Linked DNA regions of Ovis aries. The protein of the gene in region 6 interacts with the protein of the main gene of each other region in a biochemical or structural test. Links are inferred from orthologs where the notes say so. Each region holds a gene or a part of one and is shown on either strand. Other genes may lie near its edges.

The links.
Region 1: the proteins of PLCG1 (region 6) and LCP2 form a complex in vitro, tested with the Homo sapiens proteins (2 studies listed by BioGRID). The link is inferred for Ovis aries from reciprocal best matches to the Homo sapiens genes PLCG1 and LCP2.
Region 2: the proteins of PLCG1 (region 6) and ITK form a complex in vitro, tested with the Homo sapiens proteins (2 studies listed by BioGRID, with this or other methods). The link is inferred for Ovis aries from reciprocal best matches to the Homo sapiens genes PLCG1 and ITK.
Region 3: the proteins of PLCG1 (region 6) and SH3BP2 form a complex in vitro, tested with the Homo sapiens proteins (2 studies listed by BioGRID, with this or other methods). The link is inferred for Ovis aries from reciprocal best matches to the Homo sapiens genes PLCG1 and SH3BP2.
Region 4: the proteins of PLCG1 (region 6) and KIT form a complex in vitro, tested with the Homo sapiens proteins (3 studies listed by BioGRID and IntAct, with this or other methods). The link is inferred for Ovis aries from reciprocal best matches to the Homo sapiens genes PLCG1 and KIT.
Region 5: the proteins of PLCG1 (region 6) and ERBB3 form a complex in vitro, tested with the Homo sapiens proteins (2 studies listed by BioGRID and IntAct, with this or other methods). The link is inferred for Ovis aries from reciprocal best matches to the Homo sapiens genes PLCG1 and ERBB3.
Region 7: the proteins of PLCG1 (region 6) and SOS1 form a complex in vitro, tested with the Homo sapiens proteins (2 studies listed by BioGRID and IntAct, with this or other methods). The link is inferred for Ovis aries from reciprocal best matches to the Homo sapiens genes PLCG1 and SOS1.

What each region holds. Positions count from the first base shown.
Region 1 is NC_056069.1:2,324,873-2,328,372, forward strand, and holds part of LCP2 (lymphocyte cytosolic protein 2), read right to left. Parts: intron 3,492-3,500; coding exon 3,442-3,491; intron 263-3,441; coding exon 171-262; intron 1-170. UniProt on the Homo sapiens protein: Adapter protein primarily involved in signaling pathways within T-cells, as well as other immune cells such as platelets, mast cells, and natural killer (NK) cells.
Region 2 is NC_056058.1:66,446,634-66,450,655, reverse strand, and holds the start of ITK (tyrosine-protein kinase ITK/TSK), read right to left. Parts: upstream 2,801-4,022; 5' UTR 2,619-2,800; coding exon 2,481-2,618; intron 1-2,480. UniProt on the Homo sapiens protein: Tyrosine kinase that plays an essential role in regulation of the adaptive immune response. Regulates the development, function and differentiation of conventional T-cells and nonconventional NKT-cells.
Region 3 is NC_056059.1:116,633,548-116,637,047, forward strand, and holds part of SH3BP2 (SH3 domain-binding protein 2), read right to left. Parts: intron 3,250-3,500; coding exon 2,607-3,249; intron 1,586-2,606; coding exon 1,462-1,585; intron 1,253-1,461; coding exon 1,197-1,252; intron 950-1,196; coding exon 868-949; intron 390-867; coding exon 330-389; intron 1-329. UniProt on the Homo sapiens protein: Binds differentially to the SH3 domains of certain proteins of signal transduction pathways. Binds to phosphatidylinositols; linking the hemopoietic tyrosine kinase fes to the cytoplasmic membrane in a phosphorylation dependent mechanism.
Region 4 is NC_056059.1:70,928,192-70,931,691, reverse strand, and holds part of KIT (mast/stem cell growth factor receptor Kit), read right to left. Parts: intron 260-3,500; coding exon 145-259; intron 1-144. UniProt on the Homo sapiens protein: Tyrosine-protein kinase that acts as a cell-surface receptor for the cytokine KITLG/SCF and plays an essential role in the regulation of cell survival and proliferation, hematopoiesis, stem cell maintenance, gametogenesis, mast cell development, migration and function, and in melanogenesis.
Region 5 is NC_056056.1:163,452,890-163,456,934, reverse strand, and holds the start of ERBB3 (receptor tyrosine-protein kinase erbB-3), read left to right. Parts: upstream 1-1,245; 5' UTR 1,246-1,401; coding exon 1,402-1,483; intron 1,484-4,045. UniProt on the Homo sapiens protein: Tyrosine-protein kinase that plays an essential role as cell surface receptor for neuregulins.
Region 6 is NC_056066.1:69,811,715-69,815,214, forward strand, and holds part of PLCG1 (1-phosphatidylinositol 4,5-bisphosphate phosphodiesterase gamma-1), read left to right. Parts: intron 1-108; coding exon 109-178; intron 179-593; coding exon 594-751; intron 752-1,950; coding exon 1,951-2,047; intron 2,048-2,134; coding exon 2,135-2,359; intron 2,360-2,430; coding exon 2,431-2,579; intron 2,580-3,263; coding exon 3,264-3,378; intron 3,379-3,480; coding exon 3,481-3,500. UniProt on the Homo sapiens protein: Mediates the production of the second messenger molecules diacylglycerol (DAG) and inositol 1,4,5-trisphosphate (IP3). Plays an important role in the regulation of intracellular signaling cascades.
Region 7 is NC_056056.1:85,013,965-85,017,958, forward strand, and holds the start of SOS1 (son of sevenless homolog 1), read left to right. Parts: upstream 1-1,194; 5' UTR 1,195-1,323; intron 1,324-3,994.

The DNA.
Region 1 (3,500 bases), on a different chromosome or scaffold from region 6:
AGAGGAACATCAAGGAAAAAGAATATTTTTCAACTGAATTCTCCCCTCAATATTTTTCACTAAAAAAATTAAGAGTAAAAGAAAATAAAAGTATAGGAGACTATTCAGTGGAAGATTCTGATGATTCGTTTGCTGGTGTAGAAATAAAATAGGAACATATGCCTTATTACCTGTTCTTCCCCAGGGGACTGTGGTCTAGGTTTGCTGGGAACTGGCGAGAAGTTCCTGCCTTCCACTCTGGGAAGTGGTCTGTTGAGGGGGCCTTTGAAAGTATAGCATTTTGAACGTTAATTTACTTTAAGCAATTTTTCACTAGTCATAGCCCATCACTGCCCGCCCTCCACAATGCCCTTGCCATTGTTCCCAGCAATTAACGTTTCAAGAAACCACAGCTTCCAAAATAACTTTCACTTGTTCAAAACCACAAGGGCTGTTTCGGGCCCTATTCTGCAGCCATGCCAGTGAAATTCTGAGACACTACACCGCACACTTGATTGGTTGCTTAACTGAGCAAGTTACATATATACCACCAAATGGTAAAATGTGGAGGTCAGGATAATTATGTTCTCATTTTCACAACAAGACATGTGACTTACCCAAGATGAGGTGAAATTACCTTGAATATTCTTAGATTTCAGAGCCAGAGCTTACTACCTGCTGTTCTTGACCAAATTTCTTTTAGAAGTAGAACTGTTAGACTCACATAGAAGGAGGCCCTGACAGTATCTGATCCATCAGGAAGCCTGTGTCGGAGTCTGTAAATTACCCAGCATTTGTGCCTCATCTTCTCTAATGCTTTTTTTTTTCCTTGTTGACAGTTCCATGAAATTTTTCAAGAGAATGTGTTTCCTAATCTCAGGGAAGGTTTGATTGTGTTGATTTGCAGTTGCTAAACCTGTCTCTATATGCCAGAACAGCTATTTCAGGCTGGTAAAGTCCGTGAGTTGAATGTTCTCTTAACAATTCATGCATCACTCATTTGTTCATTCAACAGATATTTTTTCAGCACTGCTGTGTCCAGGCCCTGAATAAGACACCTGTGTGCATGACCTTTCATCCTCACAGCAACTCCACAAGGTGGGTATTGTCTTCTTTTTGAATATCATGAAACAAAGATTCAGAGAGTCTAAACAAATCATGTGTCTTAGTGGCAGAGCCAGAACTTGAGCTTGTGGTTCCCAAATATGACTGTGCGTAAAAGAGAATTCCAGGGGGACCCTGAATCACCCAGGCTCAAGAATCTGCCTTTAACAAGCACTCCAGGTGGTTCTGCACCAGCTCTGTTACTTCATCTAATACATCTAATACACCACAGAGGGTAAATCGCCTGCCCCAGGGCCCCTGAGAGGGGAGAGTTACTTGAAGAGTCCAAGTCTTCCTAGTCAGGATTATTCGAGATGCAGATGGGGCTAGCCTGAGCTGCTGATCTTCCTTCTTAAGGCTCCCAGTGCCTGAGCAGACCTTCCGCATGACAATCTCTGCAGTGCAACATTGTATAATGCTTGCTGAGTGAGTGAGATCTAGCTACGTGAGAAAGTCATGCAATGAAGGTCTACAGGGCATGGCTGTCTTAGAACTGAGGAATTATTCTCCATCTGCATCTGCAGGTCAGCACCACAAAGTCACTGTTCATGACAGACAACATATTACTTTTCATTGCAGTCACCCTCCACCCTTAATAAATAGATCCTCAAGGGAACTGGCACAGGTTTTTGGCCAATATAAAGCACATGCTTTATCTTCCTGACCTTGGGGAACCAGTGGGTTAGACTGAGGACCAGGTGTCCTGGCACTCTTGGGAGAAAAGGGATCGATTTTGATTAAGGTAGTAGAGTGAGCCCTCTGCGTTCATGGCTTCCGCATCGGTGAATTCAGCCGACTACAGACTGGTTCAACCAATGGGTTAGCCAGGTCTGTGGATGTGGAGCTGTGGATGTGAAGGGCCAACTGTGCGACATCATTTTATACAGAGAACTTGAACATCCTGGGATTTTGTTATCAGTGGGGGGTCCTGGAACCAATCCCCCCTCCTGTATTAGAGGGATGATTATATTCAAAAAAATAATAAAAGCCAACTGTTTATATTAATAATCTCTGTCACCAACTCATAGAAGCAGGGGTCTATGGAATTTACTTTGGCAGATACTGCTATAAGTGAAGTGTCTCAAGCTCAGATGCCTGGACGGACCAGGCTAGGGACACAAAGTAGGTTTACAAAATAATGAGTTGTGGCCACTGAGGGGTGGGGGGAGTTGTGGAAGCCATGTAGTGAATAAGGACACTATATCCTAAAATGCTTAGGAAACATTGAAAATACAGTGGGTTTCATTGGTGTCAGCAGTAGAATCTCATACATATATGGCATGATGTACCCAACTGAATGTAATAGACATGCCCCTAAAAGAAAGAGTCGACTCTTAAGTGAAAATTTAAACTTATTAGTTTTCTGTTTATAACACAAACTAATGTTCCTGCATGTGTACATGACTACAAAAAAAAAAAAGTGTTTTATTTTTTCCTCACAGAATTTTTAAATCTTAAGTCAATCTTTAAAAATTAGGTAATTTCACATTGAAAGCCATATTTCTATGTTTTCTTGAAAAATAAATCAGAAAATCTGGTAACACAAGATGTGTTTTCTAGCATGAGAAGAAAAAATTGTTTACTAGAGTTGGGTGACTCTCCATAGTCATTTGACAGTCATTCAACAAATGTTTTAAAGTGCTTACCATGTACTAGTCACTTGCAAGTCCTTAAGGATAGAAAATAAACACAGCTAGTCCTACTGGGTAGGCCTTTGTTTCTACTTGAAGTGGTCCATGAACCAGCAATACCAGCTGGGAACTTGGAACTTGGGAATCACATGGAAACTTGCTGGAAATGCAGAACCCTGGGTCCCATCCAAGACCCACTGATTAGAATCTGCATTTTAACATAGCTCCCAGGGGATTTGCGTGCCTTTTAAAGTTTGAGGACTCTCTCAAGAAATACTTACCATCGACACCCAAAGGAAATATTATTAGAAAATACAGGTCTTCAGCCAGACTTACTGTATCAGAATCCTGGGGGTTGGGGGTCCCTTAATCTGTATTTTAAACATGTTCCTCAACTAGCACTCCAGGTTAGATTCATTATAGAAATCTAAACTACAGAGAAAGCTAGCACCATCCTAAGCATCATATAAAAACAGCCGGGAAGAAAAGTTCCGCCTGGGAAGATAAAGCCAAGGGCGCCTTCCTGCGGAGGAGTGTGTGTGTCTGTGTGTTGTTTTTGTTGTTGTGTGGAGTATCCTATCACTACAGCAACCTTTGGTACACTTCAGAAACCGAAGTGCTGAATAATGAAGTCGGATGCTTTTAGGAAACAACAAAACTTTTGCCGAAAGGCTTTGGGACGACGGCATATGGGCTAGAGTCGGTCACTAGAGCGCAGAGAACAAACCTTGAGAGAAGCATGGCGGCAGGGAGGCGCTCTGCGGAAAGGTAGGGTTGCTGTGGAGA
Region 2 (4,022 bases), on a different chromosome or scaffold from region 6:
AAAGAAAAAGAAGCTGAGACCTAGAGAGGGGAAATGTTGGCCCAAAATCATACATCTCATGCTGCAGGTATATCTTGCCCCACACACATGTATTTAGTCATGGAAGAGAGGGAACCCAAGACCCTGATGTTAGCCTGACTTGGAAGAATCCTTAATACTTCCCTTCATTTGAAATGATTATGTTATACCACCCTTCATTCTCCTTCACAGATATAATGATGATACAAATAGTAGCTAAATTTTATTAGGTGTTTACTAGGTGACAGGACTTATTAAGCTCAGTTCTTTATAAATTAAGTTGAACTATATGAAATTGCCAATATATGACCCTTTTTTTGGATCTACCAAAATGGAAATTTTCAGATAGGTCTATTTAAATACATCCTCTCTTAATTTTTACCATTTTTTCCCCCATGAAGTGAATACTATTATAACACCCATTTTGCAAATGGCAGAACTGAGTTTTCATTTAAAAAAATAAATTAAACACATGTTTAAAACCTTTTCTTCCCACAGGTGTAATACTATTATCGTTTATGGGCAATGAACAATGCACTCCTGTGTGCAAATTGATGGCTGTAAGCAATGGAATGTCACATAGAGAAAAAATAATAATAACGAATATATCTTGTCTTTTTCAGTAACTGAAAAATTTTACAATCAGTAAATTCTTATAATATTTAGAGAAATGCTTTTTAAAATGTTATTTATGAATATAAAGCATAGGCATTACAAAATAAGAAATTTGACGTTTGTGAAACATATATCTGCTGTATCCCATATGGAAATGTTAAAAACTGTAGCTCAGGGCTCCCCAGGATGAATTAATTGTTCTAGAATTTTCATAATGCTCAAATGAAGAAACTGAGTTTTTTTACAACCTTTTCTACATGCAAATTATAACCAACAAAATTCTGAATCAAGATTATCTTTGTAGGACTGTGTGCAAATACCATTGTACAGAACTCACAACCAAACAGTTCACAAGCAATAATTGTGCTCAGAAACAATCAATACTAACTACATGAGATGACACCATGTTGAATGTTGAGTCAGGGAAAAAAACTGGTAAAAACCACAAAATGGACTTTGAAAAAATATTTAAATGTAAATGAAAACTCTTTAAACATAAAACATGAGCTTCTAATGTCCCATTCACAGTTGGAAACAATTTGACCAAGGTCATATGATTAATCAGCTCTAAATGATGAATCCTCCAGGTTGAAAACTTGGCTGTTGGCCCTCTGTTAATTTAGTCAAAGAATACATATTGAATACCTACTAAAGGGGCCTTGCACGTAAGTAATTCCATATTCTTCTTGACTGGTGGATTATTATCAGTAAGAATCTACTTAAGACAAGCATGTCTTTTCACCTGTAAAAAACAGGCAGTATTATTTCACCAGCAGCTTAGAAGTTTGGGCATTTGTAGGCTCCATACCTGGCCTGGCCTCTTTCAAGACCCCATATCATTGAACACTTCAAATCCCAGCTCTCAAAAGACCCAAACTCATGCCTACACCTACTAAGTTTGGTCCTGCCAAGAATCAGAGTGCCTTTGTCTCTAAGTGACCATCAAGCACCTAATGCTGTTTTTGCTACCTTTCTGATGACAGAAAAATAAATCAGTGATATAGCAAGAAGGCAAACATGCTTCAAAAAATTGCTGAGGTGGGCTGTACAAGTGCTACTTCATAGAAACAAAGGATTTTAAAGAAGAAAGGAATGTTGTAGGCGGTGTTTCCAGTCCTTTCATTTTATCAAGAAAGAACTTGACGCAGACATTTGCTGAGGCTAACTCACCTAGAGAAAAGTGGAGTTTGGTCCCCTGATGCCTCTTCCAGTGCTTTTTGTACCAAACTGCATTGTTATGATTATTTGTGTTGCTCTTTTTATTACTGATGTTATGGTATATAAGAATATCTTTAGAAATATAAAGACTGACTTAGCTAAGCAGCTGTAGTCTTCTGGTAAGAACTGCTGGTCTGTACTGTATTGTATTTTGTATGTGATAACCCTAGTCTCCTGGGAAGTTCTCCAAGGGATGAAGAGGTTTACCACTGGGCTTTGTAAATTTTAGACAGTTAAATGCCCAGAGACTATTATTTTAAATGTCAGGTGAGTGATGACATTGAGACAAATAAAACTGAATCCATAAAAATGTTGAATGGGACCCATCACTTAACCATTTCGTTTGCCAAGTAAAGTAAATTTAAAAGTTCAACTTAACCTTATAGAGGAAAGACAAGCTAATAAGCAATAAACTTACTCTTTTACTGAAATCACCTGATATAATTACCCTTTCTTGACTACTCTCCATGTTCTCTCCCAATTACTCTTACTATACATTTTAGGTGGTTATAATAAGCACATCTGTGTTTTCTGTGTTCTTATTTTATTGTATGTATATCTTCATGATTCAGCCCAATCTAACTATAAAATGCTATTTTAAAAATAGACAAAATAGAGCGATCACATACCCCATGACGGTCCTCAAAGTACGCCAAGCTGGTTTTGGTTAAAACAAAGAATCGGACTTTAAAGTTTGAAGGAGAAGTTCTTCTCTTTTGTTGGGATTTCTTGATGAGCTGCTCTTCCAGGAGGATAAAGTTGTTCATGATCCAATTCTTGAAAAGTGATGCACCTTACGCATCACCCCTCAGCACAACCAGAGGAAACAGCTTCAGGGCAAGGAATGCGATGGGGAGGCAGTTGATCTTCTGAGAGCTGTTCAAAGGCAACTTGCCTCCAATGTTATCTCTCTATCAACGTTCAGTCAACATCGCAGAGCTTCTCTTCTGATGTCAAAGCCCATAACCACATCCTTTCAAAATTCACAAAACTATGAGGCATATGTAAAAATTATGCATACCTTTTGCTGTATGGTTTAGAAATATTTGAAAAACCTTAGACTCAAAATGATATGACTGATTAGATTTCAATCTTTATAGTTCCTGGTTTAGCTCATCCAACAGTTAAGCCCTGTAGCACAAGGGGTAGGAACATGTGCTTTGGAGTCGAGGGACATGGGTTGTATATTAGTTTTCTATTGGCTTTTTAAACTACAGCAAGTTTAGTGCTTCGTGAATTTATTGTTCTGTGGTTCAGAATTGCAAAATGGGTCTCACTGGGCTAAAATCAAGATGTTAGCAGGGTGCGATCCTGTCTGGAAGATCTCAGGTAGAATCTGTTTCCTTGCCCTTCCCAGCTTTAGAACCACCTGCATGCTTTTACTCTTGACCCTCTTCCTCCATCTTCAAAGCCTAGGACAACAGTCAATTGCTCTAATTTTATACAACTGTTACCTCTTCTTCTACCTTCCGCTGGCATATTTAGGGATCCTTAAGATTACATTGGGTTTGTGTGAATAATCTAAAATAATCTCCCAATTTTAAGATCTGTTTATTAGTAACCTTAATCCCACATTGCACCTTAATTCCCCCTTTGTCATGTAAACTAACGTAGGCACGGGTTCTAGGGATATCTTTACCTATCAGAGGTTGACTTCTGGCTCCACTAACTTCTGGCTTACTAACTGTGAGACTACAGGCAAATTACTTGAGGATTCTGAGCCTCAGTTTTTTTTTACCTGTGAAGGGGAGTAATGGTACTCCTACATGTGGGGCTGCTCTCTGGCTCTCTTGCCAGTCTCATCTCATACCTTGCTCGCATATTTTCACTTCAGCCCTCATGCATGCTTCTCAGGCTGCTTTGGATATCTGCTCCCGTTGCCTGAAAACATCTCCTCTCCCCTGTTTTACCTGCTTTGAGTTATACTACTAGTTTCAGCCTACATGTCACTTCCTCAGGGAAGCCTTCCTGGCTTTACTAAGTCATTTCCACCAATTATATGCAGAAGACACCTTATGACATAGCCTTTATGACAGTTGTCATTGTACTTTTTGGAGGGTGATTTTTGGATTAGTGTTTGTCTTCCCCACTAGTTTCAGGTCAGTTCAGTTCAGTCGCTCAGTCATGTCCGACTCTTTGAGACCCCATGGACTGCAGCACTCCAGGCCTCC
Region 3 (3,500 bases), on a different chromosome or scaffold from region 6:
GGGGTGGAGGGGGGCAGGGTCAAGGGGGGCGCTGGTCCGTTTGCCTGCCCTGTGAAATGGGGTGCTCGGCAGCAACACCCGCCCAGGGGATGCCGGCAAGGTCTGCAGATAAGCCTAGGGTCGGGGGCGGGTCACCCCATCTCCTCTGGGGCCTGTGGGGGACAGAGCTGGGCCGGGACTGGGGGAGGGGGGGAGGAGGGGTGTCTGGAGGCACGGGCCTCTGAATGCCCACTGCCTGCGCTCTACCAGGGAGACTCCTGGGACCCCAGCCAGGCCCCAGAGCAGGCTTCCCCTCCCACCTGGGGCCCTCCGCGAGGCCGCCTGCTCACCTTCTCGAAGACGCGGTAGTTCCTCACCTTGCTGGAGGTCTCATCCCACACGACCAGAACCTGCAGGGAGAGCAGTGCGCAGCACAGGGCTCGCTCGTCTTGGGAAGACGATGACCTTAGACCCCGAGCGGGCCCCTCAGAGACGGAGCCGGTGGGCAGCAGAGTCAAGGCGTGTCCGTGGGGGCGGGTGGCCCCACACGCGGAGAGCAGAGTCGCGACGGGCAACCTCAGCCCAGGACGCCTGCCCTCAGAGTCAGGTGAGGCGTCAGTGGCAGCACCATGTGTCTGGCCCACGCTGGGACCGCCCCTGATAGTCATGGGGCAACTGAGGCTCAGTGGGGTCACACAAGTCACCCTTGGAGGGGCCTGGGTAGAGCCAGCAGACGTCCCACCAGGCTCACCACCCTCAAGAAGCCCCCCTTTAAGGTGCAGGAACAGGAACCCCACCCTTTCCTTCCTGCCTCGAGCCCGTGCTGGGGGGTAGGCATCACTCCCGACGGTGATGTGACCCCCCAGGCCCACCTCCCTGGGTGCCTACCTTCCCCGACTTGGTGGAGGAGTTCCGGATGCAGTAGAGACCGTCCTGGGGCACCCCCCGGGGGCTCGTGGCCTTGAAGAGCCTACGACGACACGGCTGCGTGGAGGGGAGCCGCCCACGAGCAGCTCTCAGGACCCTCCAGCCCACCCACCTCCCCCATTCCGAGAGCACCGGGGGCCATGGGGGCAGATGCACAGAGCCCGGGAGTCGGGGGGGGGGGGGAGGGGAACAGAGAGGCAGGAAGACCTGAGGTGGGGGCGGCAGGCCCCGGCAGAGAACCTCAGGTCTGCCAACACGAGGCCGTGGAGAAAGGCGGACTGCACACTGACCTCTCCACCTCGAAGGACTCTGTGGTGTTGATGAAGACTGAGCTGGGCAGTGGCACCTGAGTGGTCAGGGTCAAGGGTCAGGGTCAGGGTCATGGCCCGAGACCGGGGGTGGGGGCCCCCCTCCTCCCCGCTGGCTGCCAGGCTTTGCTGGGAGCCAGGCGTTTGCACCAGGTTCGACCCTCTAGCCCCAGAGCCCCCGGCTTTCCGGCAACCCCCCACCTCCCCCGACGACTGAGATGTGGGCACCCCCCCAACCCAGCCTCGCCTTCTCATAGTCATCGTCAGAGCCCTCCCCGCCAGCGTCCGCCTGCGACGTGTCAGTCTGCATGGGTTTCCGGGGTTTTTCAAAGGAGAAGCTCCTGAAACTCTGCCCGTCAGGGGGTGATCGCCTGGGAGCGAGACAAGAGGGAGGCCGGTCAGACATGGGACAATGCCCCGCTCCCCTCGGTGACCCCCTCTCGCCCTCTGAGTGACCACACCGAGCCTCGGAACCCAGGGGGTCTGGTGCCTGAAGCCCCGGCAGCCGTCAAAGGCTTGCAGCCGAGGAGCTCCAGGGCGGGGGCGGTGGGGGGGGGGGCGGGTATCCGCACTGACCGCCCTGGGGCAGCAGGAATTGCCTGAAGCCCGGAAGCCTGAGCTGGGATCGCTGGCCCGGGGCATCCTGAGCTCTGGAGGCTGCGGGAAAAGGCCCCGGTCTGAGGGCAATCTCCCTGCCACGGACCACCCCTGTGGCCTCAGCCAAGCCACGCTCCCCCAACAGCCACGAGAACAGATGCCAACAGCCCGAGCCAAAGGGACACGCCCTCACGAGTGGCCACGTGCTCCTAAGCCTCAGGGCTCCAGGGAGGATTCAGGGAGGCCACCCTGGACGGGCCGCCAGGCTGTGTGTGCGGCTGTGCTGTCGACGCTTGGCTGTGGCCCAGGCAGCCCTGTGGTGCTCGGGGCCAGGCCCAGAGCCTGACATAGGGACCCAGCCTGCAACTCTGCGACCCCTCACAAGACAGAACCACCAGGGACGTCCTGACGGGCACGGTGCTGACAGAGCCCTGCGGGGCGCAAGACACAGTCAAGGGTGCCCAAGGAGAGCTGGGCGGGAGCATACACTCGGGGGTCGCCCCGTGGACCCAGAGCCTTCACCGCCAAGGGCCCCATGGCCTGGGGCTGCCACGACACACGTGTTTCCCGGCACTGCCCAGCAAAGAGGCCCACGTGGTATGGAGCAGGCCTCAGGGGCAGCCGGTCAGTCCAGGCAGGAGGGCAATCGAGGAGCCTTGCTCCCCCCATGCCAGGGCCACCTGGCACCCACATGGGCTGAGAGCCAGGGGCAGGGAGGTCTGGGGTCACCAGAGGGTAAACATGCCAAGGAGGGGTGTCCCAGGCCAGGGGGTGTCCTGTGCCACACAGACTCACTGGAGGTGCGGGAGCGCCGGCTTCTCTGGCCGGGGCAGGACGGGAGGCCGGTCTGCAGCCTCGGGCATGGGCAGCTTCAGCAGAGGCGGCCGGGGGGCCACAGGGGGCACACGGGGTCCAGTCCTGGCCACCTCCCCCGGGGGACTCTCTTCTACCATCTTCAGGAACTTGGGCTTGTTGGCTGGCACAGGTGGGGGCTCGGGGGCGGGCGGCCCCCGGGGGGACAGATGGAAGGACTTGAGCTTGTCACAGTTCCAGGAGGCAGCCGTGGCCGTGCTGGAGGGGTTGACCCCGTGTGCGGGGATCCGGGGCTCCAGGCTGGGGCTGCTGTTCTCGGGGAAGCAAGGGGCTTTCCGGAGGCTGGGCCCGGGGGGCAAGATGTTGGATGGGGGGTCGCTCATCCTCCGGGAGACGGTGGGCACCCTGGAACCGGGCTCCACCCTCCGCAGGGCCGGCGGCTCCCGCCTGGAGTCCTCGGGGGCCGGGCCGGTGTCCGGGAGGCCGCGCTTAGGGGGCGGGGGTGGCAGCAGGGGGCCTGGACCCTTGGAGGTGAAGGAGTGGGCACGGGGCACCTCAGAGAAGACTGGCTTCCTGGGCGTGGGCACAGGGGGCGGAGGGTAGGCCGGCGGGTGGATCAGGGCATCTGCAGAGCAAAGAGAGCCACATGGTAAGTGGGTGTCCCCCGCTGGAGGCTGCAGCTGCACCCCTCGGGGGGCAGTGGACAGCCAGGGCCCCTGCCCCGCAGCCTGGCCGCCCCACGCCCCCCATGCCTGGCACTCCTGGTGTGGCCTTCCTTCTGGGTCTGGCCCACCTCACGCCACTGGGCCCACCCCAGATGCCCTCCGAAGCCTGGGCAAAACTTCCCGAAGCCCAGGTGCCACATCAGGTTCCCAG
Region 4 (3,500 bases), on a different chromosome or scaffold from region 6:
TCTCTAAAAAGCCACATGGATAGAAAAAAATTAATCAAAACAAAGTTTTAAAAAAATAATAATACTTTGAAAACATATTTGAAATTCAACTGAATTGCAGTCTTCCTGATGAGTGTTAAGTGGTATCCAAAATAATCATCTCACCTCTGCTCGGTTCCTGGACAAAAGTACCAATCAATGGTTGGCTCTGGGAACCCTGCGGCCACGCACTGTAGCATGCCATTCACCAGCCTGTCATGCGTCAGAATTTCTGGTTTTGCTGGAGGAAGAGAGAAGCGGCCATATGTCAGACTGCTAGAAAACCTCACCAAGGCTCCCTCCACAATTTCTGAATTTTTAAAAACTTTCTCAAGGATGAAAGGGACCCTAAGGGAACATGTTGCTCAAAGGGGAGAATGTGAACCAGTGAATGGAAGGTACAGGTAGAAGGATGTGAAGGTCTGACCACGAAAAAGGCTTTCCTGGTTAAAGCTACCCAGCCCCCGTGTGGACTGTTCATCCTGTGGATGTGGGGGTCTCTGAGCTCTCCCTGCCTCAGGGATGACTGAGGTTGCAGGACCACCTGGCAAGGTTTCTGTTCCCAGGGATGGGGAACCTGGAAGATGGGTTCTAATCAGGATTCTAGGGTTCCCAACTGTCTAACAGGTGAAAATGCTGAAGCTCCAATACTCTTGGCCACCTGAGGCAAAAAGCTGACTCATTCGAATATACCCTGATGCTGGGAAAGATTGAGGGCAGGAGGAGAAGAGGGTGGCAGAGAATGAGATGGAATGGATGGCATCACCGACTCAATGAACATGAACTTGGGCAAACCCCAGGAGATAGTGAGGGACAGGGAAGCCTGGTGTGCATGAGGTTGCAAAGAGTCAGATGTGACTTAACAACACTGTTTATTAAAGTATTCCTGCCATCAGAATCTCATTGGAATTTCAAGTTATTGCAAGAACTAGAAGAAATTAGGAGGAGTTACAGGAAGAGATAAGATCCGCCCCCTCTCGAAAATTTCCCTCCTCCTTTTTTTGATGGGGGTGTGGAAGGGATGGTGCAGACGAGCAGCTGAATCACCCCTTTATAGAGAAGCCAAAACATCAGAGTAAAACACAATATGGGCTTTTAACTCCAAACTTTTATTTCAAATGCAAAATAGGAATAGAAAATTAGAAGAGGAAACCAGCCCAAGAGTTTTACTCATACATATGTCTAAACCTGAGTACAATCACTGAAAAAGTAAACTGTATCAGCAGGAATGCCCTAATTTGACATTTCTGTGTAACTATAATAATCAACTGATATTCAATCAAAGGTACCCTGCAAATTCTTGAGATTAGTGAACGGGAAAAGAACTTACATTCAGCTGTTCTACTGGTAATACACTTGAAGGATGTGAACCCTCTAAGAATGAGTAAACTATACTGGAAGCATCTGACGGCAGGGACAGTGATGAGTTCATCCTGCATCCCTGGCACAGCATCGCGGGTGCCGCCCCCAAGCCTGTGCACAGAGCTGTGGGTGGCCCTGTGTGTGGTGGACAGAACTGTACCCAAGCTCTGGCTTTTGGTGGCTCTCTGCTGTCCACCAAGTCTCCGGGTATCCAATGGGAATAACAACAGTAACAACAGGAATTCTTCATAGTGATGTTGTGACAATGAAGTGAAATGATTCTTGACAAAGAATCAAGAATGATTCACAGAAATCAAACAGTAAAAGCATTAATTAATGGGACTTCCCTGGTGCTTCAGTGACTAAGAGCCTATGTCCCAGTGCAGGGGGCCTGGGTTCGATCTTTGGTCAGGGATCTAGATCCCACATGCTGCAACTGAAGATCCCACATGCCTTGACTTAAGACCCAGAATAGCCAGTAAATAAATTTTCAAAAAAATTTTAAGTATTAATTACTACTTTATTACTACTCATTTATTATTTTTTCTCCTTAGAGTACCCACCCTCCTAGGTTAATCAAGTTTGGTACCAATTAAGTTAACTGTATTGGTCACTCTACATATTCTTTTCAATATATAAAGATATTAGATATTGAAGAGAAACTGCTTAACACAGCATGATAACATGTATGTGTTTTAACCCAAAGAACTGGGAATTTGACATTGATTACATTGCAACTGATAGGAAAAATAAATATATTTGGTCAGAGGAAAAGGCCAACAGGTCAGAAACTAATTTCTTCGAAGGAAGGTAATGCTGATAAATGACATCTTTGTAGAACAACCTCTCAGCACCTCATCTCCTTGCAGGCAAAATGGCTTGGCAGGGATCAAAGTGTCTGCATGCATGGCACACCCACCTGTCATTCAACCTGGCCCTGCTGATGGGCAGGCCATTTGGCTAATACACACAAAAGAGCAACACTCCAAAAGCAATCTCAAGGTAGGGGCATCCTTGAGAGTTTGGATCCAACGCCAGCTTTCACAAATAGAGCAAGAAGACAAGCCATCGTCTTGCAAAAGCGTCCATCTGGCAAGTTTCATTTAATTATCATGGGCAACTGTGTGACCAGGCTGAAAAGTAGGACATAACACAGAAAATAGTGGAACTTGAGGAGAATGCTATTTGCTGAAGACGGCAGGCGCCATACGGCAGGTCTCTCTGGACTGAATTCAAGTGTCATCTCCTTTTCCTAGCCATCCTCAACTCTCCAAAGCCAAGTTGGTTGGTCTCGCTTCCCTACTCCCGAAGCACTTTAGAGCACCTGACGCACTTCTATAATATCCTGGTCTGCCTCCATCCGACTGTTCTCAAGGGCAAGGACCATGTCTTACGGACTGTACTTCTGACTTCTAGCAGAGTCTGACCTGTGGCAGACACACAGTAAGAGCTGTTAATTATTAAGTCCTCCCAAAGAAACAAGTCCTTCAAATTCCAAAGGAATTCAGTGTCACAAGAAGGGACCTGGAATATCAGCCTATGGTGACTTTCCTGTTACATCATTTTTGCAATAGTGGGCCACGAGATAAGAAATCGGCACATAAACCTGGCCATGTGGATTTTTTCTTCCATACTGAGATTAACGATGAGAGAAGGTCCACACACAGATAGCAAAGATAACTGGATAGAATCCAACTGGACAGAATTCAAATGGGAATCAAGTTCATAAGACAGATTTCCTCATAACAACCTTCCTCTTGTCATTCATTGTTCCTGGATTTTTAGTGGAATTAACTATTACTCAGTAGGAAAAAAAAAGAGGGGGCTGAAAGGGTGCATTATATTTATAGTTGTTGTATCTGGGTAGTAGAGTTATACATCAATATCTGTTTCATTCTTTTGACTTATTTTCTAATTTTTTTTTACAATGAACACAGCTAATAATAAACTTATAAAACACTGGAACAGTTGAAAATTACATAATCAATTACATTTAGCTTTGGTTACAAGTGCCCTAAGATCCAAGCCTTCCAGCACGACACCTGGTAGCAGCTATACAATGGCCAGGGCTGGCAAACAGTGTGGTCTGGCTGGCCTACTTGTTCCTGTGTGCTGGTTAA
Region 5 (4,045 bases), on a different chromosome or scaffold from region 6:
TAAGTGGTCAGGACAAGGTCAACACTCAGAGGGCAAAGGTAGCCTCCAATCACAGAACAGGCCCTCCAGGGTGCAAAGCAAGTTTAAAGAATTTTAGCCAGTACTCTTGGCTCAGAGTGAGAGGTGGAATTTTTCTTATTCAAAGCTCAACTGTTCTTGAAGTCTTCAGGCTTGAAACTCTGGGGAAAATAATTAGGCTTTCAGGGCAAGATCCGGAATGCCACACCGTGTGAGGCCTCACTGCCGCCGGCTGGGCACCAGGAAGTGCCCATCCTATCCATTTGGTGTCGGCCTGGGTTTGGGGGCATCCCCTCGTGGTGGTCAACAGCGCCTCTGGCTAGGATCCGGGAGCTGGTGCCCTGGGTTCATGCCTTTCGGGGACGCAGTCTCTAGGGCCCTCTCGGCGTCCCCCTCCTCCTCCTTTCCAGGAAGACCCCAGGCCCGGAAGGCCTGGGAAAGTGAACTTCTGTGGTGGGGAAGGCGGCCGCCCCGACGGCGCGGTCCGACTCCAGTGTGCAAGGGGAGGCAGCTGTTCTCCCAGGCGGCCGTGGGGGGCAGCAGAGGGGACAGCGACAGGTGCGGGAGCCCCTCCCGGGGTGGAAGTGAAAAGGCGGGCTTCGGGGTCTGTTCCCAGGCTGGAAGCCACCCCCGCCCCCCTACCAAATCCCCGGGAGAGGCCGGGCCGGCGCCGGGTCTGGAGGAGGAAGCGGCCGGAGACAGTGCAATTTCACGCGGCCTCTGGAGCTCGGGTTCCTCGGCAGGGCGGATGAGTTATGGGGTTTCGAGGGGGTTTCCGGGGAAACTGAGGTGGCCTGTTCAAGGCGACAAAAACACCCTCCCCCTCAAAAACACACACACACACAGGCAAACACATTGAGACAGAAACTCCCCCAAGTGACCCAACCGGCTAGGGGAGTTGAGTGATTTGGTTAGTGGGCGAGGCCAACTCGCAGGGGGTCGGGCTTTGGAGCGTTCTCTCCCCACCCCCATTACCTTTCTCCTCTGGAAGTATTTGGGGGCGTTCGGAATCTTGGACTCCGGGAGAATAATTAGGGCGAGAGCCGTTTAGGATCTGCGCGGCCAAGCTGCCGGCCACTGGGCGTGGGGCGCGCTAGCTCGGGGCGGGCCGCCGAAGCTCCGGCAATCGCTACTCCAGCCTCGCGCCCGAGGGGGCGCGGCCGAGACTCACCCCCTCCCCCTGCGCTCCGTCCTGCGCTCCCTCGCAGACTCCACTCCTCCCCTGCCATCCCGCCCCGGACTCCGGCTCCGGTTGCACTTCGCAGCCTCCTCTGCCGCCGCTACCGGGGTCGCTGGCGGCTCAGGTGGCTCCGCTTCGATGTCCTAGTCCAGGGCCCTTCCCGGCCGGCTTGGGCTGGGTTCCCCTCACCCTCCGCTGGAGTCATGAAGGTGAACCGGGCTCTGCAGGTGCTGGGTTTCCTCCTCAGCCTGGCCCGGGGCTCCGAGGTGGGCAATTCGCAGGCAGGTAAGCGGCGCGGGAGCACTGGCGGGCTCCGAACCCGGGATTCCGAGCCGGATTCGTGGGGTGCCGGAGGCCAGCGGCAGGAGCTTGGGCTGCGCGAGGCTGGGGTGTGAAGCCCCCGCCGGCTGGGACCCCCTGGGCCCGGGACCGTCAGGATGGGGTTCTCGGCGTGGTCCGGGCGGGGACGCGATTCAGGGACCTGCTCCCCGGCCACCGCCTCCTGGGCGCCTCGCAGACCCTCAGATTTGTCTCTCCGGCGGATGCTTAAACCATTCACACTTCTGAGGACCCTACAGGGACGGGAACTAGGACCTCCATTCTGTAAACGTGAGGGGGTGATTGGAGGTGGAGAACACGGAGGAAGCGGGGCACGGAGGTGGGCATCTCGGTTTACTCCAGACCTCTTTGGCCCCTGGGGCTCAGCAAGCTCCAGTTTCGTTGTTCTGCCGACAGGGCGGAGCTGTGGAAGGGGGAGAGGTTGTTGTTCTCTAGTGTTGGAAAACAGAGTGACACCTCCTCTTCCGTGAGTGGGCCTGCCCTGGGGAGAGTGGAGATTAACCTGGGGGCTAAGTCCAGGGGACAGCAGGGAGAGCGGCCACGCAGAGGCTGACTGCCCTCGTTCTCTCAAAATAATAAAGTTGGCTGGTCTCCAACTTGACCAAACTTTTTTTAAGCCCCAGATCAATTTAACCAATATTTACTGAGCATCTACTATGTACAGAGCCCTGGACCACCAGCTATAGGGTCAAGGATTTCCAGCCGCTATATTTCAGCCTTTTCTCTCCCCAACTTGAGGGCTGACAGGGCACCTGTCCTGTCTTCTGAGCCCCCTATCATGGGGAGGGTCCTTCTCAGAGCCAGCTTCATCCCTACTCCCATTCTGTTTATTGTCTGGCGGTCTCCAGCCGTCTAGACAAGAGTCAGATCACCCCTCTGTTCCTCCTCCCACTCCCATGCCAGCTAAGCCCCCCTCTTTGGGGTGTCTCTGGGGTGGTGGACAACTGAGGGGTGCTGGGGATGCTGGCATTGGAGGAGTTCTGTTGATTTCCTCCCCTCCCCCCCAGATCTCAGCTTGGGGTTTGGCACTGTCAGGGCCCCTTCCCCAGGGTGGGAGTGGGAGAAACACCTGTGCTTCCCTCACAGTTGCTGGGCCTAAATTTAGACCCTGGGATCTTGGGATGTGAACACTCCCAGCTGGTAGAGGGCGGGGGTCTGGGCATTGGAGTGGGAGAGATGGAGTAAAGTGACTGTCTCACTGTTCCGCTCAGGCCCCTGGAATCTTCAGCTGGGAACCCAGGAGTCCTGGATCCTGGCCGCCTTCCCTGAGGGAGACAGGAGGCAGGCATGGTTGGGTCTCTTTACCCTTTATCTGGCTCCTGCAGCCTCTGGGCATCCGGCCCCGTCTCAGTCCTTCTATAGCCCCTTTGTCCTGGCGGTGATGGGGGCGGGGGACTTGGGGGAGAAGGCCTCTGGCTGAGGAGGGGCTGGAGATTCTTGTTGCGACCCACCCCAGTGCTCTCTACCAAAGGGGAGCCCCGTGACACTGGCCCTCCCGGTGCCCCTGGTCGCTGGGTATAGCAAGGACTTTTGAATTCCCCTCCCCCTCCACTCCTCCCCTAGATGCCTGGTTCCTCCTCAGAGGTGTTGTTCATCGTTTCCCGCCCAGCCCTTTGCTCTTGTTTGTGTAATATGGACTTTACCCTCAGGGTGGCAGGGAACTGGGACCTCTAACACTGTAGTCTCCCCAGCTCGACACAAAGTCTGCACAAACACATGCGGGCAGGTGGGAAGGATGGGGCCACCTGCAATACTCCCTAACAAGGAAACCCAAGGACGGACCGGGCTAGTAGGGGAGCTGTGTACGTGTTTGTCTGCGTGCGAATGTGTGTGCGTGTGTACACACACACACACCCTGCTTCCTTGTGCAGAAATCTTGGCTCCTCCTTTATCTGGGGAGAAAGGTTGGCGCCTTGACTTGGAAGAGGGGGTGTCCTGGCAAGAAGGGAGTTGGGGTGGGGCTGTTGCAGAAACGACCAGCCTCCTAGTGGTTTTCTTTTCAACCCAAGGACCCTAGGGTTCCCAGGCACCTCTGGGAGCTCGTGTCTGTTTACTCCTCTGCTGGGTCTAGCTCACACTTTTCCCTTCATGGGGAGTGATAGGGAATGGGAACCCCTCAAAGGTCGAGTGGTCAGACTAGGGGTGCATCCAGGAGGAGGGGTTGGGGCCTCACCCACCTCCCTTCCTCCATTCCCACTCCTGCCTCCCACTAGGCTGCCACCGCCTCAGGGAAGGGTGGCTGGAACAGGTGGTATCTACCCGTTCCCTTGCAGCCTTTCACCGAGCCAGAGGAGAGACAGGGTAGGGCTTCAGGGTCCAAGATTGACTATAAGCCCCCATGTCCTCCTCCACACTTACAAAGTAAAGTGAACCTCCAAGACTGACAGTGAGTGAGGATTGAGTGAGTGAGTGAGCGATGTTTGGAAGACTTCTTAATGGATCTCCTCTGACAATAAAATTGGGTAGAAGGCTGAGACTGGAGGCAGTCGACTGCTGTTTCCATCCAAC
Region 6 (3,500 bases):
GCACGCATGTGGTTTCATGTTCGTCTGTCGGGTGTACTTCTCACGTGCATGCAGGCATCCCCTCGTGCACACAGCAGTCTTGCTGACTCTGGGCTTTGCCTCCCTCAGCACTTGGACGAGAACAGCCCGCTCGGGGACTTGCTGCGGGGGGTCCTGGATGTGCCAGCTTGTCAGATAGGTGAGCCCCAGCCCTTTCTCTGCCCCTCAGGTTCAGGCTGTCCCTGGTGGCTCTCTCCATGCCCAGAGAGAGGAAGCTGAGGGTTGGGCCCCACAGGCTGCCCTCGTTCTGAGCTCTCCCCACTCCCGGACACCTCGGCACCCTCTGGCTCCCCATCCCCTGCCCCCCGGCTCTGAGGCCTGCGTGCTCGCCCTGTGCAGACACTGGGGATGATGCCGCTGGCGAGCTGAAGTCCGTGGTCTTGGAGGGCTGGTCCTTGGCTGAGACAGGCTTAGAGGTGGGGGCAGGGGCTTGTCTCTGGGCTGCCCGTCCTCCACCCTGAAGAGGAAGGGAGTGAGCTCTGCCCATGCTTGGGGTGGGGTGGGGGCTCAGCCCCGTATCCCCAGCTCTCCTCTCCTCTCCTCCCTCCCTCCAGCCATCCGTCCCGAGGGCAAGAACAACCGGCTGTTCGTCTTCTCCATCAGCATGGCCTCAGTGGCACACTGGTCCCTGGACGTGGCTGCCGACTCACAGGAGGAGCTTCAGGACTGGGTGAAGAAGATCCGGGAGGTGGCGCAGACGGCGGACGCCAGGGTGAGAGCCTGTGCTGGTCCTCCAGCCGCGGGGCAGCCCCCGCTGCTTGGCAGAGGCTGGAGGGACACACGTGCTCCGCAGTGTGGCATGTTGGGGGTGTGTTGAGTTTGAGGTATACCCAAGACGTTCCTGAGTGGCTCTGCGTAGTGACCAGTTGGTGTCAAGGGTAGAGGCGAGAGGCTAGGTCCTGGGCTGGAAGCAGGAGTAGGTGCCCAAGGTTTAGGGTGACGTGGTACAGGTTGGGAGCAGAGTGTGACCTCTGAGGACGCAGGTGTTGAGAAACAAGAGGCCAGGATGAGCAGACCAGTGAGGCCGGGTGTCTGACGTGAGGCGGGCCACAGAGCAGACAGCAGGGCCAGAAGCTCAAAGTGCTGGTTGTAGACGGCCGTGGCCGTGGGCGGTCACGGCTGGGTGGTATGGCAGTGGGCCTCGGCTGGTGGAGGGCAAGGGCGCCGCCTGTGCAGAGCAGGGCGGTGGAAGGACCAGCTTTTAGAGGTGAGAGGAGGGCGTGCTGGCCGGGGTGTGGGAATCCTGCAGTGGGGTGGAGGGGCTGCGGGACACACCGTGGCTGCCTTGGAGAAAGGATGCCCGCAGGCCAAGCCGAGAGGGCTGGGTGCGGAGGACTTAGAGTCGAGCAGGGCCTGGAAGGACCAGGCTGGAAGGATCTGGTGGTTGAAGGGATGGAACCTGGGGTCTGGGCTATGGAGGGAAGGAAGAGCTCGAGAACAGGAGCTGCTTCTGGAAGGAAGCGGGCCTCCACGAGTCCGAGGGCCGCACGGGGTGCTAGTGAGGGATGTGCTGGGGCTGAAGTCTGGCCGTGGCGGGTAGGTGGTGGTTTTGAGAAAGGAGAACTGCGAGGTGAGAGGTGAGGCTTCTGGGCCAGGGCTGGAAGGATGGTCCCAAGGACCCAGAGGACTGCGCCCACGTTCCCAGTGCAGTCAGTGCCCGTGGCAGGCCCAGAGCTGAGGACCAAGTAGCCCTGAGGTGCAGCCGGCCCAGCGCCCTGAAGTGTCTCTGAGGCGCAGGTGGTGTGAGGATCCCGGCCTCTGAAGCTGGGAGGGTGTGTTGTCCTCAGGACGGTTTCTGGGGTGTGACTGAGGACAGCCGGGTCTGGAAGGTGCGAGTGGGCATGCCCAAGGTGGCCGGGGGCTCCTCTCTCTGGGGGCTCCAGCCCGGGCTCAGGGCCCATGTGTCCCCAGCTCACCGAGGGCAAGATGATGGAGCGGAGGAAGAAGATCGCTCTGGAGCTCTCAGAGCTCGTCGTCTACTGCCGGCCTGTCCCCTTCGATGAAGAGAGTAAGGGTCCAGCCCGGGGTTGGGAGGGGGCTGGCCCCAGCAGCACCTGGATGGGCGGACTCTGAGCGCGCTCCCTGTTGGGCCCAGAGATTGGCACCGAACGCGCCTGCTACCGTGACATGTCATCCTTCCCGGAGACCAAGGCCGAGAAGTACGTAAACAAGGCCAAAGGCAAGAAGTTCCTCCAGTACAACCGCCTGCAGCTCTCCCGCATCTACCCTAAGGGTCAGCGGCTGGACTCCTCCAATTACGACCCCCTGCCCATGTGGATCTGCGGCAGCCAGCTTGTGGCCCTCAACTTCCAGACCCCAGGTGAGGCAGCGGCCGGGGGCAGGGTCCTGCCGGGCACTGGGGCTGGAGTCCACTGTAACCCGCTCTTGCAGACAAGCCCATGCAGATGAACCAGGCCCTGTTCCTGGCTGGCGGGCACTGCGGCTATGTGCTGCAGCCCAATGTCATGCGCGATGAGGCCTTCGATCCCTTTGACAAGAGCAGCCTCCGCGGGCTGGAGCCGTGCGCCATCTGCATCGAGGTGGGAAGGGGGCGCTCTCCTGGGCTGGTTCTAGGCGCCAGGGCCGGGGGGCTGGCTAACGTGACATGGGAGGGGTGCTGGACAATCCTGGAGCTTGAGGGAGACGAAGCCATTCTCTGAGGTGGGCGTGGGGCTTCAGGCCTGCACCAGAGGACTGGGCTCAGTGTGGCCAGTTCTTGGCACTCGGGAGTCATGCGGTCCAGTAATACCAAACCGTGGATAGCCACTGCCTGGCAGGAGTGGGCAGAGACAGGCAGGGAACTGGTGCCCCTGCCACAGGAATCGGCTTGATGGTACTTGCTAGAACGGGGGCTTGAACAGCACTGAGCTCCCATGCCACCCTCTCGAGGCCCCAGGGGAGCAGCTGTGATGCGGGCGGCTTGGTGCTGTGGGGTGCAGGGGGTGTGGGCCCGAGTGGGTCTCAAAGGAGAAACGAGGACAGAGTGGGGGTGACCATGTCTTTTTTCCAGAGATTTCTACTTTTTTGTCCCGGGGGGAAGTAATTTAAACATTTTCGTATTAAAATGCACATGGATTTAAGGTAGGTTAGAGTGCAAAGACTCACATGGGACTTCTGGGCAGTGTCCTGAGGGCCCAGCAGAGGGCGCACTGCCTCCGCCGCTCATTGGGGACCGGGTGTGAGTCGGAAGGACCAGCCCAGGCCCATCCTTGCCTGCCTTACAGGTACTGGGGGCCCGGCACCTGCCGAAGAACGGCCGAGGCATCGTGTGTCCTTTTGTGGAGATCGAGGTGGCTGGAGCCGAGTATGACAGCATCAAGCAGAAGACGGAGTTTGTGGGTACGTCTCCCCTCCCCACACCCCCGGGCATGTCAGACCCCCTGCGCCTGTGACTCCATCCTCCCGGCAGTGGCCTGAGGCCTTCTGCCCTTGCTTTTGCAGTGGACAATGGACTGAACCCT
Region 7 (3,994 bases), on a different chromosome or scaffold from region 6:
TAAAGCTTATAATCAGGCCAAGAATTTTTTTTTTCCTATTTAACAGGCGTATAAATGACTTGTATTTATAAAGTTACAATTCTTCTTTTCTGTCCTGAGCACTAGTCACTGACTGTATCTCTATATTTTGTTACTTTGAAGATGTTGTGTGTCTACTTATGATTTTAGGACATGTTTGTATAAAAGCAGGTCTACTTCAAATCACATAAACTTATAGCTATGATTCAATTAGCATTTGATAGCATAATGACAATTTATACTTCTAGATATAATGTACTGCAAACAGTTTTAGTTGTATTATGTTAAGTATACATAATATTTTTTTTATCTTAAGATGCTTGTAAAACCTAAGAATGGGATTAAAAACTTTGGTGACTTTATATTCGAATATATCACTCAACCTGAATATGTTCTTTAGCTTATTTTAATAAAAGTTAGAACTATTTCTGTCTCCTAATTTTTGTTCAACTCAGCTATTAGTCTGTTGACTAATACTTTGTATTTAAGTGAGAAAAACTGTCATCTTCGTATATTAATTCCAGAATTTGTTATTTTATTTCCTATCAGTTGGAATATCTGAATAGCTGATGTAGCAAACTATTCCTTTTGTTGCCTATGGCTGGGAATTTTTACAAATGGAAAACTAGCAAAAACTTTTCCAGTCTGACCGGCTTGATGTTTATCTCTGAGAACATCTTTACAGCTTTACTTTGAGGCTCTAAGATTCTTTTTCCTTCAGTTCAAATTTTTCTCTGGCCCTTTACCATACTTAAGCTGCAAGATGTTCTTGTATCTTCAAGCCCAAGCTAGCTTCTGTTATAGGTTTAAAAACACAAAAAGGCTCAAGACCAAACTTAGACTAGTGATCAGAGAGAAAAACAATTGATAAAATAATGAATGAGTCACTATTTAAATATACTTCAGTTCTTTTATTTTTTTCTGAACTAACCTTTCTGCTTTCATTATTTTTAATAGCACTTATGTAAAAAGAGTGTGGTCAATTATTTCCAATGGTAGCTACAACAATTTCTCTGAACCTACATCAGTTTTACCATGATACTTTCCACTCCTCTTATCAAGAGATGAAATCTCGCTCCCTCTCCTCATCTTATGACCTGTGTCTTCCTTAGATGCCCTGTCCCATTTCTGGGCTTAGCCCTTGAAAGGTCTGGCAGCTTCTTCCCCAGACAGAGAAGTCCTCCATTTCTCTCTGAGGAAGCCAGCCTCCATGCTGTAAAGAAGCTTGAGCTAGATACAACTAAATGATAAGACACCACATGGAGAGGAAGAGGCAGGTGGAGGAGCACCACGGGGGCCAGTCATGTGAGTGAAGCCTTCCTGGACTTTCCAACTCAGTGTAGCCACCAGCTGAAGATCCCCAGATCAGCATCCCTAACCAGCATCAGGTAGAACAGAATAACTGCCCAGCTGAGCCCAGTCAACCTACCAACTATAAGAAATAATAAACCAGTGGTTTTAAGTCACTACTTTCCAGGTTGGATTTGATATGCAGTAATAGATAACTGAAACAGTATGTTTTTAAATTGTATACTGTTTAGTGGAGAAACATATTCTCAATTTATATGCAAACTTTAACTAAGGCATAAAGTTATCTTTTTAATTTTGTTGAAGTATAGTTGATTTACAATGTTGTGTTAATTTCTGCTGTACCTCTAAGTGATTCAGTTATATATATATATATATATATATATATATTCTTTTTCATTTTGTTTTTTCACTAGATATTGAATATAGTTCCCTGTGCTAAACAACAGGACCTTGTTGTTTATCCATTCTATTTGTAATAGTTAGCATCTGTTAATCCCAAACACTAGAGAAAAAAAAGGCAACTCATTCCACTATTCTTGCCTGGAAAATCCCATGGACAAAGGAGCCTAGTGGGCTACAATCCATGGGATTGCAAAAGAGTCAGACACAACAACTAAACAATCCCAAACCGCCAGTCCTTTCTTCCCCAGCCCTCTCCCCTTTGGCAACCATAAGTCTGTTCTCTCTGTGAGTTTGTTTCTGTTTCATGAATGAATGAATGAAAGTCACTCAGTTGTGTCTAACTCTTTGCAACCCCATGGGCTACACAATCAATGGAATTCTCTAGGCCAGAATACTGGAGTGGGTGGCAGTTTCCATCTCCAGTGGATCTTCCCAACCCAGGGATCGAACCCAGGTCACCCACATTGCAGTCGGATTCTTTACCAGCTGAGCCACCAGGGAAACCTTTCTGTTTCATAGATATGTTCATTTGTGTTATATTTTTAGATTCCACATGTAACTGATATCATATGGTGTTTCTCTTTTTCTTTCGGACTTATTTCACTTAGTATGGTAGTCTTTACCTCCATCCATGTTGCTGCCTATGGCATTATTTCATCCTTTTTATGGAAGAGAAATAGTTCATTGAATATTCACTGAATATCTGTGAATATTCACTGAAAGGACTGGTGCTAAAGCTGAAGCTCCAATACTTTGGCCACCTGATGTGAAGAGCTGACTTATTGGAAAAGACCCTGATGCTGGAAAAGATTGAAGGCAAGGGAGAAGGGAGCAGAAGAGGCTGAGAGGGTTGGATAACATCACCAACTCAATGGACATGAATTTGAGCAAACTCTGGGAGTTAGTGAAGACAGGGAAGCCTGGCATGCTGCAGTCCATGGGGTCACAGAGAGTTGGACACAATTTAGAGACTCAACAACAACAAAACATTCCATTGTATGGAATACCACATTTATTGTATTCATTCTTATCCATTCGTCTGTCGATGGACATTTAGGTTGGTTCTACGTCTTGGCTATTGTAAATAGTGCTGCTTTAAACACTTTTTACATGTATCTTTTCAGATTATAATTTGGGGGTCAGATGTTATTTAGCCTAGAATATACTCTAGGGAATCTAAAAATCCTTCTTCCCGGTTACCCATTGGCCTCTGTCTTTGATTCTTATTTATCTTAGTCAACACTGCTCTACTTCCCAGGGGGAAATCATCTTCTCATAAAACATGTATAACCACCCTATGGGGGAAATCTAAAGCACCATAATGAAGAAATGGTCCAGACATTGTATTCTATCAAATCTATGATTACATTCTAGCTAGAAATTTGCTTGATATCTTCACAGTGATCCAATAGGTGATTTCCTTCTTTTTGCAAGAAAAATATTTACATCTATGTTAGATAACTGGCTAGATGCCAGACTACTCATTTTCTATCTTTTGTCACCCTGCCAAAAAATATATATATGTAAGTAGTCAGTCAGTTTGGGTCTTGATGAGTGTTCTTTAACCAGTGCTCTTCACTCATTATCACACTCACTAGACATCAGCTAGGTCATCTTCTGGATGTTAGCGGAAAGACTGATCTACACTGAATGAGCTTCTGCTCATAACCAAAGATCTCTAGCACATTTGATTCTTCAAGGTAACTGGTGCCATTGTCTTTCCACATTTGCCCTCTTTCTCTTTTAACCTGAAAGGCATCCAACCAGAGGTCAGATTTTGGCTTTGTCACTTACAGGTCATGTCCTTTTATCATCAGTGTCTTCAACTCTAAATGAAAATTTTTAACAACCTGAAGTTGTTATAAGTATTAAGTGAAACAATTATGTTAATATGCTTGGTAGCATAAGGAGCTATGTAAATACTGATTATTATTTTTAATACCTTCTATAACTTTTGAATATATTCACTTCTACAGTTTGATATGTGATCCCTTGAAATAAATCCATAGAGTTGTTTAATTACACTAGTTGCCATGTTCTCTCCCAAAGAAGTAGGAGAACTCATCTTACTCAACAATCTCCTGTCTTCCATTTGGCAGCTCTTGCATTTCTAACATGAGAAAGAGCTTACCTTCTAGCAAATAAAAATGTCAAGTTTTTCTATGTACACAACTTAGTTTATTGGCACTATTTTAAATGTCCACATATTACCTAACAAACACTGTCAAGTACTAGGAAGAAACAGAATCTTAAAGCCCTCAGT